2 linked regions of the Ovis aries genome follow. The protein of the gene in region 1 interacts with the protein of each later gene in a pairwise test. Links are inferred from orthologs where the notes say so. Each region holds a gene or a part of one and is shown on either strand. Other genes may lie near its edges.

Region 1 (6,307 bases):
ATCCCTGCGGACAACTGGGGAAAGTTTGCAAAGAGGAAAATGAGAAGACAAAAATGTACCCATATCATTTAATTTCTGTGGGCCTGTTTTCTTCTCATCTCTAAAGAGGCTGAACTAGATCAATGTTTCATCCCTGATATCACATTAGAATCACCTGGAAAGCACTTAAAAATGCCCTGATTAGAATGACCTGCTCTGCGGTGGGACACAGACATCAGTGGTTATGAGAAGTTCCCCAGATGATTCTAATGTGTGGCCAGGTGAGTGCATCCCCAGACTAGATGGTCTCTAATAGTTCATTCTAGTCCTAAGATTCTAAGATAATGACTGGAAGAAGATAGAAGGGAGAAAAATAAAAGAAAGGGGAGACAGGACTTCCCTGGTGGTACAGTGGCTAAGAATCTGCCTGCCAGTGCAGGAGAGGCGGACTTGATCCTTGGCCTGGGAAGATTACAAGTGCCACAATGCAGCTAAGCCTGTGCCCCAAAACTACTGAGCCCGTGCACCTACAGCCTGTGGTCCGTAATAAGAGAAGCCACCACAAGAAGCCCACATACACAACGAAGTACCCCCATTTGCTTCAACTAGAGAAAGCCCGCGTGCAGCAATGAAGACCCAGCGCAACCAACAGTAACATAAATAATTTAATAAAAATAAAAAGGGAGAGAGGAAAAGAAGACAGGATGAATGGAGAGGCAAAGAGTATTAGATGCTTCTCTTCTAAAGAGTAAAGGGACCAAGAAACAGGAGTGTCATCACAGACCATCTAACCTGCCTCTTTGCACAGGCAGTCCCCACACTGGAGGCCCTGACACCGAGGTCCAGCAGCTGTACAAGCATCACACCTCTGACGCCAACTGGCTTCCAGATGATTCACAGGGATTCTTATCTGCCCTCATCCTCTTACCTGGAGGTCACTTAATTCTGTATTTCCTTGCCTCTCACTTCCGACTCACGAGCTATTTCTTGTCCCTTCCCAGAGAGTAACCAGATCACATTAGGTGTCGTATATTCTCAAGACCCAGGCTTAGAAATCCACCAACTATTATTATTTACACAAACGCAAAAGCACCACCATGTTAATGATCGGCATCTAATATGTGCTGAATGAATATTAATTGTGAGAAAAGAATGAAATCACAACTTGAAATCAGACTGAAATGACCCTTGGGGATACTTGGGGTGCCTCTGTCTCTCTCACAGGTCCTTAGACATCAGATCAAAGAGCCCTTTACACCTGGACGGCTCCGCCCACCTGGCCTACATCTGCCTCTCCATCCATAGCCTCTGAAACCTCCCTATCTTTGGGGGACACTTTGAAGGCACCTGGCTCAGAACCACTGCCGTCCAAGGACCGGGGCGTCCCAGGGCTGAGCAGATGCAGCGGGGAGGTGGGCAGCTCCCCTGCTTCCCGATCCTCATGTTCTGCTTCACTTGACTCCTCAAGATAGGAGCTGCTCTCACTGCCCACACTGCTGTTGTAACTCCGGAAGCTGTCATAGCCGCCGAAGAGCTCCAGGTCATCGTCTTCCTCTTCCTCCTCCATCGGTTCTGAAGACGGAGTCTCCTAGGAAAAGGATGACACAAAGCAGGCAGGAGCAATCGTGGTTGGCTTACTGTAAGACAAGGGAAACTGCAGGTCTGCTATCAACTCCCTTTCCAGGTCCTGGTCAAGTCAACGCTTCTGGGCCGAGCGGCAGGTACAATCAAACACCCCTTTCGTAAACACCAGGATCATTACTCTTGTTTATACCTTTCTCAACTGCAAGTCAAAAGAATACCTTAGCCAGACAGAAACATGTATTAGGAATTCACCAGGGTCCTCTGCGGATTTATACATGACGACATTTTACCACAATTCACACAGAACAGAGTGATGTGAAAATATACTAAGCATGGTGCTTCGTGAAGACATTCTGGAAAAGATGTATTCCAGAAACTCATTCTTCCCCCTTCAGCAGGTATACACCAAAGTAATTTCAACTCAAAAACAATTTAAGTCAGACGAAAGTTAATTTGGGGCCCAGACTGCCCTAAAGAGGATTTGAGGCAAATGACATACTAGCACTGTGGGACATACCTAGCTTTGGACCTAGCCTTGATCCTAACTAGCTGTGGGTCCTTGGGCAAGTTATTTAACCTGTCTGGGTCTCATTTTTCTCATCTATAAAACAACAACAAAAAAAATTGGTTCAAAAGATGTGCAATGTGAAATGAGGTATTCTATATGAATCTACGTGGCATGTAGCAGAAAAGGTGTGAAGCGTTTGGGCTCTAGGCCAAGACTCCAAAACCATCCCTACTATATGACCTGCAGCAGTTCAATCTCAGTGCCTCGGTTTCCCCATCTGTAAATGAGGACAATTCCACCTATTTCATAGGCTTTGGGGGAGAAGTAAGGGTTACTATGGGAAAGGCACTCAGAATAGTGACATGCAAACAGCAAGTGCTCAATAAATGCTGGTGATCATTACTGGTTAAAAGCACAGGCACTCAAATCGGATATGCCGGAGCTGGAATCCGGGCTCTCCTACTTAGGGCTCTCGGTTTCTCCATCAGTACAATGGCTGTAACAAGCCTTCTTTAGAGTGCTGCTGTGCGCACCCAGGCGCTATGTAAAGCCTAGTTCTGTTCCCAGCAGTCAGTGACAGCTCTGAAACTGGGAGTTATCATTCACACTCTACACTGATGATGATTCTTCTTGACTCTCGGAGAGTTTGTGAGCGATTCCACTTTATATTTACACTACATATGCAAATGTGCCAGAAAGGACATTCAAATATAAGGTAACCAGAAGCCAAATGATGAAAGGATATATGGGTTGCAGGTGGTGGGAAGAATGGGAAAAGCAAAACAGGGAGAGTTTTGGAACCTGACAGACTTAGTGCCCATCTCCTTCACTTTACAGCTGCGTGGCCCTCCTGGGGAGTGGCACTACCCTCTCCAAGCCTCAGGTGCATGATCCATAAAAAACAGACAATAACACAGGACTTGTTACTGTGGGATAACGCACGAGAACGCTCCAGATACGGAGTGTTTATTAAACTTTAATCTTCCTTTACTTCCCACCAGGATGTGACAGGCCTCACAGTCCCTAAAGAGGCCACCATGAGACAAGGGGGAGAAGGAAGATTCAGGAGCTCTCATATCCTGAACCCAGTTCCTCTTCCCCCAGGCCAGTGAAGCTGTTCTTCCCTCAACCTCACTCGGACCCAGGAGAACGGGAGCAAAAGGCGATGCCAATCGCCTCTGGCCTTGCTCAGCCTAACTACCTGTTTATCCATTCTTCCATCCTCCACCCTCCAGGCGTCGCTCAAAGGCCCACCGAGCGAGGCTCTCGGGGTTCCCTTTCCGAGAAGTCCTCTCCCTCTCACCTCGACGCCCCGGGGCTTCTCCATGAGACCTAACACAGTTTCTTCAACCGTCACCAGGTGCAGGAAGCCATATTGGCCTCGCCGCTCTCCCGGAGCTTACTCATTGGCCGCCTCCCAGGGCCGAAGGCCAATCACGCTGCAGGAAAGAGGTAAAGCCGGTTCCGCGCTGGCCTGAGCCCCGCCTCCCCTGGAGGCGGGGAAGCCGCGGGTGCTTATGGGACTTGTAGTTTCCTTTGGGCTGCGCGTGGAGGGGGTCGTTGCTGTGGCGCCGTGAAAATTTCCCCGCCCCAGACCTGCCTGACCCGGGAGGATAGTTCTTGTTTCTCCACGGTAACCTCTTGCTATCACACCGACTCCGTTCTTCATTAAACAATTATTGAGTACCTAAGAAGGTACTAGCAACCTTCCCTGGTGGCTCAAAGGTTAAAGCGTCTGCCTTGGAATGCAGGAGACCAGGGTTCGATCCCTGGGTCGGGCAGATCCCCTAGAGAAGGAAAATGGCAACCCACTCCAGTACTCTTGCCTGGAGAATCCCATGGAGGGAGGAGCCTGGTATGCTACAGTCCATGGGGTCGCAAAGAGTCAGACACGACTGAGTGACTTCACGTAAGAAAGTACTGTTCAGGCACCCTCCAGGAAAAACCTCGCCCTTTCCCTGATGAGAAATTAAACGTGCCCTAGTGCGGGGATGCCTAGCAGAGAGACTGTTCCCTGTTTAGGCAGAAACTGGAATACTCACTCTTAGGTCCAATGGTATAAATGTCCCACATGCTTAAAATTCTGCAACACTCTACCTTGCATCACCATCTCCTGAAATAAACCTCAGATATGAGGCTCTCTGCCTCATTCTTTTGGGACCCACAACGGTCTTTAAGGACCCACAACCGTCCTTACTCACAGTTCTAGGTGCTGTAGTAGAGCTTTAAAAAAATATATATTCATTTATTTGTCTGTGCTGGGTCTTCCTTGCTGTGTGGACTTCAGTTGCAGAGAGGTGGGGGTAAGGTGGGGGCCACTCTTCCTTGCAATTCGTGGGCTTCTTATTGCCGTGGCTTCTCTGGTGCAGAGTACCAGCTCTAGGACACAAGGTCATTAGTTGTGGCACACAGGCTTAATTGCTCCACAGCACGTGGGATCTTCCCGGACCAGGGATCAGAACCCTGTTTCTTGCATTGGCAGGCGATTCTTTACCACTGAGCCATCAAGGAAATTCTATCATGGAGCTTTACAAACATCTTAAATCAGGGACAATCAGTCACTGTTTCACAAATGAGGAAACAGTGGCCCTTTGGGTTTAGACACTTTCTAAGATCACATTTGATTGGAATTCAAGATTTATTCCAAATTCTTTGCCTATGCTATACTATACTCTTAATTGAGAATCTAAATATAATAAGTAGGCCTTGACATGTGTTAAATATATTTCTAAATTTGAGGTCCACTAGATACATGTGAAAGTCTTTCTTAATTTATTTGCTTTCTTCAAGACTTTCTACCTCCAACCACATACCCATGCTGTCCACGAGTACTGTTGGTTCTTCTGCCACCAAAAGGTATCCTATATTTTTAAAAATTATGTATTTTTTTATTTGACTACACCAGGTCTAAATTGTGGTATGGGGGATCTTTAGTTGTGGCATGAAGGAGCTTTAGTTGAGGCATTTGAGTTCTTAACTGTGGCATGTGGGATCTAGTTCCTGAACTAGGGATCAATCCTGGGCCCCCTGTATTGAGATTGTGGGGTCTGAGCCAATAGACAATCAGGGAAGTTCCCAGACAAAGAATTTAGAGGAGGAGGTAAAGGGCCCTAGTTGGCAGAAAAATGTAACCACAAACCTGTAAAGATTTTTAAGGAAATAAGTAGATTGTTTAGATTTTGTTTTAAGAGCTCACTCTCTAGATGCTGCATGGAAAGTGTGTTGGAGGTAGATCAAGGGAGCAGCAGGGGGACCACTTAGAAGGCTCCTGTGCTGATCCAGGGGAGGGATGCTGGTGACTTGGACCAGGGCAGACTTAGAGGACGTGCAGAAAAGTAGAAGAATTTGAGAAGTATTTTGGAGGCAGTAATTAATTGTATGGAGTAGGTTTGGAAGACGGTGGAATCCAGAATGACTGGGTAAATGTGTCAGATGGGTTGACCATGTTCTGTAGTGGGTAAAAACTGTACAAGGAATAAGTGAGTTTGGATGGTTGAATAGAGGGAATTAGGAGTTCTGCTTAGCCTGATATGCCTCCAAGAGGGCAAGAAGGTAGTGGAGTTCACCAGAGAGTCCTGAGTTAGAAATATAAACCCTGAAATTAAAAAAAAAAATTATTTGGCTGCACTCGGTTTTAGTTGCAGCATGCGGGGTCTTTCGTTGCGGCACATGGACTCTGTAACTGTGGTACATGGGCTCCAGAGTGCACAGGTTCGGTAGTTCGGGTGCACTGGCTTAGTTGCTCTGTGGCATGTGGGATCTCAATTCCCCAACTAGGGAGCGAACCTGCATCCCTCACGTTGGAAGGAGTCTTCTTAATCACTGAGCCACCAGGGTAGTTTCCTCAACACTTTGTTGTTGCAGTTTTCAACAACCTCCCTTTAAGATGGAATGAGAGTCCCTAAATCCATCTTCTCTGTGATGTATTATTTTTCACCTCTCAATGGATATATCATCAACAGTAGAAGAAAGCAAAAACCTGAGCTTTCCAGTTTCATGGCATTTCCACAAAAGTACCCAGCTTTGGGGGAGGGAAGGAAGCTGAGGCAGGTCCCAGTGATGTGAACTGTTAGCCTAAGTTGAAATGGCAGTTAATGAGGAATTCAGTTGAAACATCTTATTAAACACAGGTTGCTAAGCAACAGTGGCTACCCTGAAATAGTGTGGCTGTTTCTTCTGCAGTGGAGCTCCTGGGTCTTTGGTCTGAGCTGTCACAAAGGTATGCTTTTTGGCTGG
Region 2 (6,272 bases), on another chromosome or scaffold:
ACCTCTGAAATTAACTGTCAATTATGAAGAGAAAAAAATAACTTTTGCAATTGTGAAATTACATAATCAAACTTAGCAGCACCAACAATGGGCCAATCTGTCGTTTTGAGCTTTCTGATAACAGAAAGGCAAACAAGGACTTCCCTGGTGATCCAGTGGTTAAAACTGCATGCTTTCACTGCAGGAGCACAGGTTCGATCCCTGGTCAGGGAACTAAGATCCGACATGGCATGGGCAGTCAAAAAAAGAGAAAACAACTGGGAGGTAAACAAGAGGTACATAATCAGTAATGCAACATTTTTGCCAAAAGTATTTAAAGGATCCCTCATGAAGTCACAACAAGAAAAACCTACAATTTGTACATTCTACAAGATAATGTCATAAACAAGCTCACCACTGAAAATGTTGCTGCTGCTGCTAAGTCGCTTCAGTCGTGTCCGACTCTGCGACCCCATAGACGGCAGCCCACCAGGCTTCCCCGTCCCTGGGATTCACCAGGCAAGAACACTGGAGTGGGTTGCCATTTCCTTCTCCAATGCATGAAAGTGAAAAGTGAAAGTGGAGTCGCTCAGTCGTGTCCGACTCTTAGTGATCCCACTGACTGCAGCCCACCAGGCTCCTCCATCCATGGGACTTTCCAGGCATGAGGACTGGAGTGGGGTGCCATTGCCTTCTCCATGAAAAGGTTGGGAAGATCCTAAATTAAGAGACTAAAGACACATAACAGCCAAATGCAATGCACAAACACTACCTGGTTGAAAATGAGCTAGCAATGCATTTTGGGGGCCATTAGGGGAAATATGAATAAAGACTGTATATTAGATAATACTATTAATGTAGTGCTAATTTTCTAGGCATAATTGTGGTTACGTTAAGAAAGATGCTCTTATTCTTAGGAGGTATCTGCTAACACAATTAGGGACGAAGTGTCCAAGATCTGCTTTTAACTTTTGAATGGTTTAGCAGAAAGTATAATACACATATATGGAAGAAAGGAGAGATACAACTACAGAGGGGTGGCAGGAGGCAGATCTTTGTGGTGACAGAACAGTTCTATATCTTGACTGCGGTGGTGGTTACAGGAAGCTACCCACTTGATAAAATGATAGAACTAAACTTACACATTGTACCAAGGTCAGGTTCCTCCTTTTACCATTGTACTAAATGGTTACATAAAACCCAACCACTGCGGAAGACTGAGTGAAGGATATATGGAACCTCTCTGTATTGTTTTTTGCCTATGTATCTATAATTATTTAAAAAAATTTTTTTTTTTAATTTTAAGTATAGATATGGGGATGTATGGGTTTCCCTGTTGGCTCAGATAGTAAAGCATCTGCCTGCAATGCAGGAGACCAAGGTTCGATCCCGGGGTCAGGAAGATCCCCTGGAGAAGGTAATGACTACCTACTCTAGTATTCTTGCCTGGAAAATCCCATGGACAGAGGAGCCTGGCAGGCTACAGTCCGTGGGGTCAAAAAGAGTTGGATACCACTGAGTGACTAAGCAGGCATGCCCGCATAGAGTGTGTGCTTGTAAATTACAGAAAGGGAAGAGAGAGAAATCAAACGTGACAGCAAGCTAACTGGTGATCGGTGAAGGAGATCAAGAGATCATGAACTATTCTTTCAATTTTTCTCTAGATTCGAAAATTTTCAAAAAAAAATTAGAACATTTTTAAGAATAATATTACTAAATAAACCATGGCACAGTTGGCATATAGGTAGGGCAAATCCTGTGAGGGTGGAACTCTTGACTGATTAAAATGTACAAAATAGCAAGAGGCATGCTGGTATATAAAGTATTATATGCTGTATTCCATTTAAGCCTCACACAACCCTGTGCCATTGGCCAGACTTCCCCTACTGTGTAGGATTTGTCCAGGGTTACTCAGTGAGGCAGGGGTTGAACCAGAGACCAAGCTCGAATGCAGACCTCTGTCCACCCCACCTTACTACTGCTTCCCTCCAAAGCTACCGCCAAGGACATACATAGTCCTGATCACAAATACAGTTGTTGCTGTTTAGTCGCAAGTCGTGTCAGATGCTTTGAGACCCCATGGACTGCAGCACACCAGGCTCCTCTGTCAGTGGGATTTTCCAGACAAGAATACTAGAGTGGGTTGGCACTTCCTTCTCCAGGGAATCCTCCTGACCCAGGGAAGGAACCCACACTTCCTGCACTGGCAGGCGGGTTCTTGACCATTGAGCCGCCAGGGAAGCACCAAATGCAAACATTAGTAGGGCACAAAGCAACACTACAGGCTTCTGTCACTCACTTTTGGTTGGTCAGATACCGATCCCAGCCACGAATAATGTTGCCGTACATCTGCGTGTCTTCCAGGTAGCTTCCTTCAAAAGCATAGATCTGTCTCTCCAAGTTTGCCAGTGTTTCCTGAGGTGAAAGACAAGGAAACAGTTGATGCCTTTTACATGCAAGCATTAAGTCGGACCAAACTGACATCCTGGTATCAGGCTTAGAAATTCAAGTTCAACGACACCGAGTCAGCCTTGTGGAGAGAGGGATGACATGGGTAGGGGCAGGCTGTTTCAGACAAGACAGTCTAGACCTGTCTTGCTGGGTGCCTTTAAGAATAAAATGAAATAGATTCTGTCCCTAGAAAAATGTACACCCAGGCAAAAGTCTGTATATACTCAGAGGCTTCGTGGAAACCCAGCTGTCAAGAAACCGCGGAGGAAGAAGGTGAGCAGTCTCCACTCCCACGCATAAAAGACACCGCTACCGGAGAGGGAAGGGTGAGCAGCCTTCCAGCGCCAACTCGCTCGCCTCCCTGCAAGCTCCGAAAGGCCGCCTGCACCGGGCGGCCGGTTGCTATGGAAACCTGGAAGGGCAGCTTCAGGTAAGATGCGCCTCCCGGTGCTCCAGCCAAAAACGCAAGGGGAGGGACGGCTTAGCCACCAGGGAGCAAGGGGCCCCAGGCGCGTGTCACAATTTCTAATTCCCTAGGCTGAGTCCGCTCCCCCTCACCTGTCATCTTCTAAGAAGTCCCCGAACACATCCCACGCCTGCCCATCAAAAGCCCCATCCAACGGATCTAATCCTATTCCCCGCAAAGACATTAACGCCCCTCCATCCTCCAAAGGTCAGAATGGATGTGTGGGTCTCCCCTCCCACATCCGTCTCCTACCCCACCTCCCCAGAGCCCACAGCCAAGCCGGAGCCGATCTCCTCCACCCTGCCGGCACGCTTGCCGCCCAATCGCTCCAAGAGCCCAGGGCCGCCCGCCCTCATCCAGCCCGCGGGGCTCGCGGACCCTCGCCGCCGCAGGCTCCCACACGGAAGCCCCCACCCGCGGGCGCCAACCTCCCTCCACGCCTCCGCCGGCCTAGCCTCCCTCCCCCTCCCCCGCTCCGCGCCCCGCCCCCGGCTCCCGGCGCCAGATCCGCCCGGCCGGGAAGCCGAGGCGCCGGCGGGCCGCGCAATGCGCAGCCGTCCTCAGGCCGGCGGACTCCCAGCCGCCGCGCTGCGCCCGGGGAGTAACGAACGGCCCGGAGCGGCCGGGCCCGGGCCCGGAGACGGGGGCAAGCGCGGGGGTTTCACCCGGGCACCCCCGGTGCCGGCCCTCACCGCCAGCTCCTGCTTCCGCTTCACGAGCTCCGCCAGCTCCCGCCGGGTGTCGGGGATTTGTGGCGGCGCCGCCTTGTTGTGCATCGCCATGTTGGGCTGAGGCGGGCGGCGGCGGCGGCAGCGCTAGGCTGGGGGCGGTCCCTTCGCGCCACCGCCCGCCAGGGGGCGCCCGCCGCCACACTGCGCCTGCGCGCGCGGCTTCCGGAGGCGCGCTGGGCGCCCCCCAGAGCTCCCGCCGGTGGGCTCGCAGGACCCCAAGGGTGCCCTCTGCCCTAGGTCCCGGCCGCATTTCTGCACTGCAGACTCACCGTGTCCAAAATAAGACTTCTCGGAAGTCTCATCAGTGAATGACTTTTAGTGTCCGCGGAATTACTCGAGTCAGAAACCTTTGTACCGGCCTCACCCTTCTTCACCCCCTTAATCCGATCCAAAACCAAGTCCTCTGGACTTGACTCGAGCAGAGCTCGTAAATCTGTTTCCTTTTGTCTGCCACCTCCCTCATTCATCCAGGCTCTCGTTTTTGGAGACATTCCAACAGCCTCCTGTTTCTATCCTTAGCTCGATTTAATCCATTATCCAAAGTGGTGCCAGGATGATTTGTTTTTAGAAAACAAATGTGTCACCTTCTAGGTAAAAACCTTTCAGTGGCTCCCTATTGCCCTTTAGAGAGACAAGTATGTGCGGTGGTTAAGGGCACAGACGAGCTGGAACAGACACCTGGCTGGTGGCAGAAATGGAGGAGGAGGAACAAAGCTGAGGTCTGGGAGATGATGATTCTGTGAGTTTTCAGACACAGAAAACAAATTTACCATTACCAAAGGGGAAAGAGGGCAAGGAATAAATTAGGAGTCTAGGATTAATATGCAGGCACTACTACATATAATATAAATAACCAACAAGGACCTACTCTATAGCACAGGAAACTATACTCATTGTATTGTAATAACTTATAAAGGAAAATAATCTGAAAAGATTCCATATATGTGAATCGCTTTTCTGTACACTTGAAATTAATACAACATTGTGAATCAACAATACTTCAATAAAAAACTAAAATTTAAAAAACGCTACCTCTACCATTGATGAGGCTGGGCCACCTTGAGCAGGTAGCTAAATTTCACTTGTCTCAATTTCCTCATCTGTATAATGGAGGTAATAATAGTGCATACTTAACACAATTGCTGTAAGTCTAATGTTGTTATGGAAAGCTTGGCCTCTCCATACACTAATGCCAAATCAAATCTTGGAGACAAAGTTTTGAGTGAAGTAGAAAAGGAAGGCTCTATCACTTTGCCAGGCAAAGGAAGACAAACTGGGCTTCTGTCTCGAAAAACTATGTGTTCCACCCTGGGAGGATGTGATGAAGGGTTTTATAACAATAATTCAAAACTACCCTCTAATGGTGGTGCTAAGGCTTCTCCTTGCGGTGGCTCCACTTGCTACGGAGCACAGGCTCTAGAGAGTTCAAGTTCCAGTAGTTACCGCACGTGGGCTCAGCAGCCGTGGCTCCCGGGCTCCAGGACACAGGCTCAGCAGAACCCGGGCTTAGCTGTCCTGCAGCATGTGAAATCTCCGTGGACTAGGGATCGAACCCATATCTCCTGCATGTTAAGCAGTTTGAGCATAGGTTGGTAAAGAATTTCCAGACACACAGCATTCCAGCAGGGAGCGAGTATAAGAATGAAGAGCAGAGATAAAGTAGGCACCGAGAGCACAGTGGGCCAACCTCCTAAGAGACCAGGGAGAGTTGACGGCTTTTGTGGGTTAATAGCCAATTTTTATAGCCTCAAGCCAAAGAAAATGCCTGCTGCAAGGTTGGTGTTAGGTGATTGGTTGGGGTGCTATAAGGTGTTTGCTGAAGTGGGCATCTTTGCCTGACTGGGGGTCAGGAAGTCAGGGAGTCTTCTGAAAACAAAAGGGGCTCAGTTACAAAGGGGCTCAGTCAGCTTCAGAGGTGACCTTGGTTCTGGGCTCCGCTTCTGTGGCCTTGGGGGCAGGACTCAACACTGCATTGGTAGGCAGGTTCTTTATCATCGAGCCACCAGGGAAGCCTCTATTCATGTTTGATTGCACTGGGTCTTTTGCTGCTGCAGAGGGCTTTCTCTAGTTGCAGTGAGTGGGAGCGACTCTTCCTTGCAGTACACAGACTTCTCACTGCAGTGGCTTCTCTTTGTTGCTGAGCACGGGCTTCATAGTTTGGGCTCACAGGCTCTAAAGCACAGGCTCAGTACTTGTGGCACACGGGCTTAGTTGCTCTGCAGCAATGTTCAAATCCTCCATTGGGACTTTTTAAAATAGACAGTCATTTCATCTGCAAACAGGGAAGTTTGTTTTCTTTTTTCCCTTTCCAATCTATGTGCTGTCTATTTCCTTTTCTTGTCTTACTGCGTTGGCTAGACTTCCAGTACTCTGTTGACTAAGAATGGCCAGAGTGGATATCCTTGACTTGTTCCTTAAGAGGAAGGTATTCAGTCTTATCAAGTTGAGGAAGTTCCCCTGTATTTCTGGTTTACTGATAGTTGTTTTTTTTTTTAATTATCATAAATGGGTGTTGAGGTACTTTTCTGGTGGTCCAGTAGCTAAGAATCCACCTACCAATGCAGGGAACACAGGTTTTATGTCTGGTCCAGGATGATTCCACTTGTCAAGGGGTAACTAAGCCCATGCCCCACAACTATTGAGCC

Evidence for each region.
Region 2: the proteins of L3MBTL2 (region 1) and MEAF6 interact in binary tests that used the Homo sapiens proteins (3 or more experiments, as listed by UniProt). The two-hybrid records come from large-scale screens. The link is inferred for Ovis aries from reciprocal best matches to the Homo sapiens genes L3MBTL2 and MEAF6.

What each region holds. Positions count from the first base shown.
Region 1 is NC_056056.1:218,191,826-218,198,132, reverse strand, and holds the start of L3MBTL2 (lethal(3)malignant brain tumor-like protein 2), read right to left. Parts: upstream 3,466-6,307; 5' UTR 3,399-3,465; coding exon 3,375-3,398; intron 1,568-3,374; coding exon 1,327-1,567; intron 1-1,326. UniProt on the Homo sapiens protein: Putative Polycomb group (PcG) protein. PcG proteins maintain the transcriptionally repressive state of genes, probably via a modification of chromatin, rendering it heritably changed in its expressibility.
Region 2 is NC_056054.1:12,340,936-12,347,207, forward strand, and holds the start of MEAF6 (chromatin modification-related protein MEAF6), read right to left. Parts: upstream 3,687-6,272; 5' UTR 3,679-3,686; coding exon 3,589-3,678; intron 2,395-3,588; coding exon 2,279-2,394; intron 1-2,278.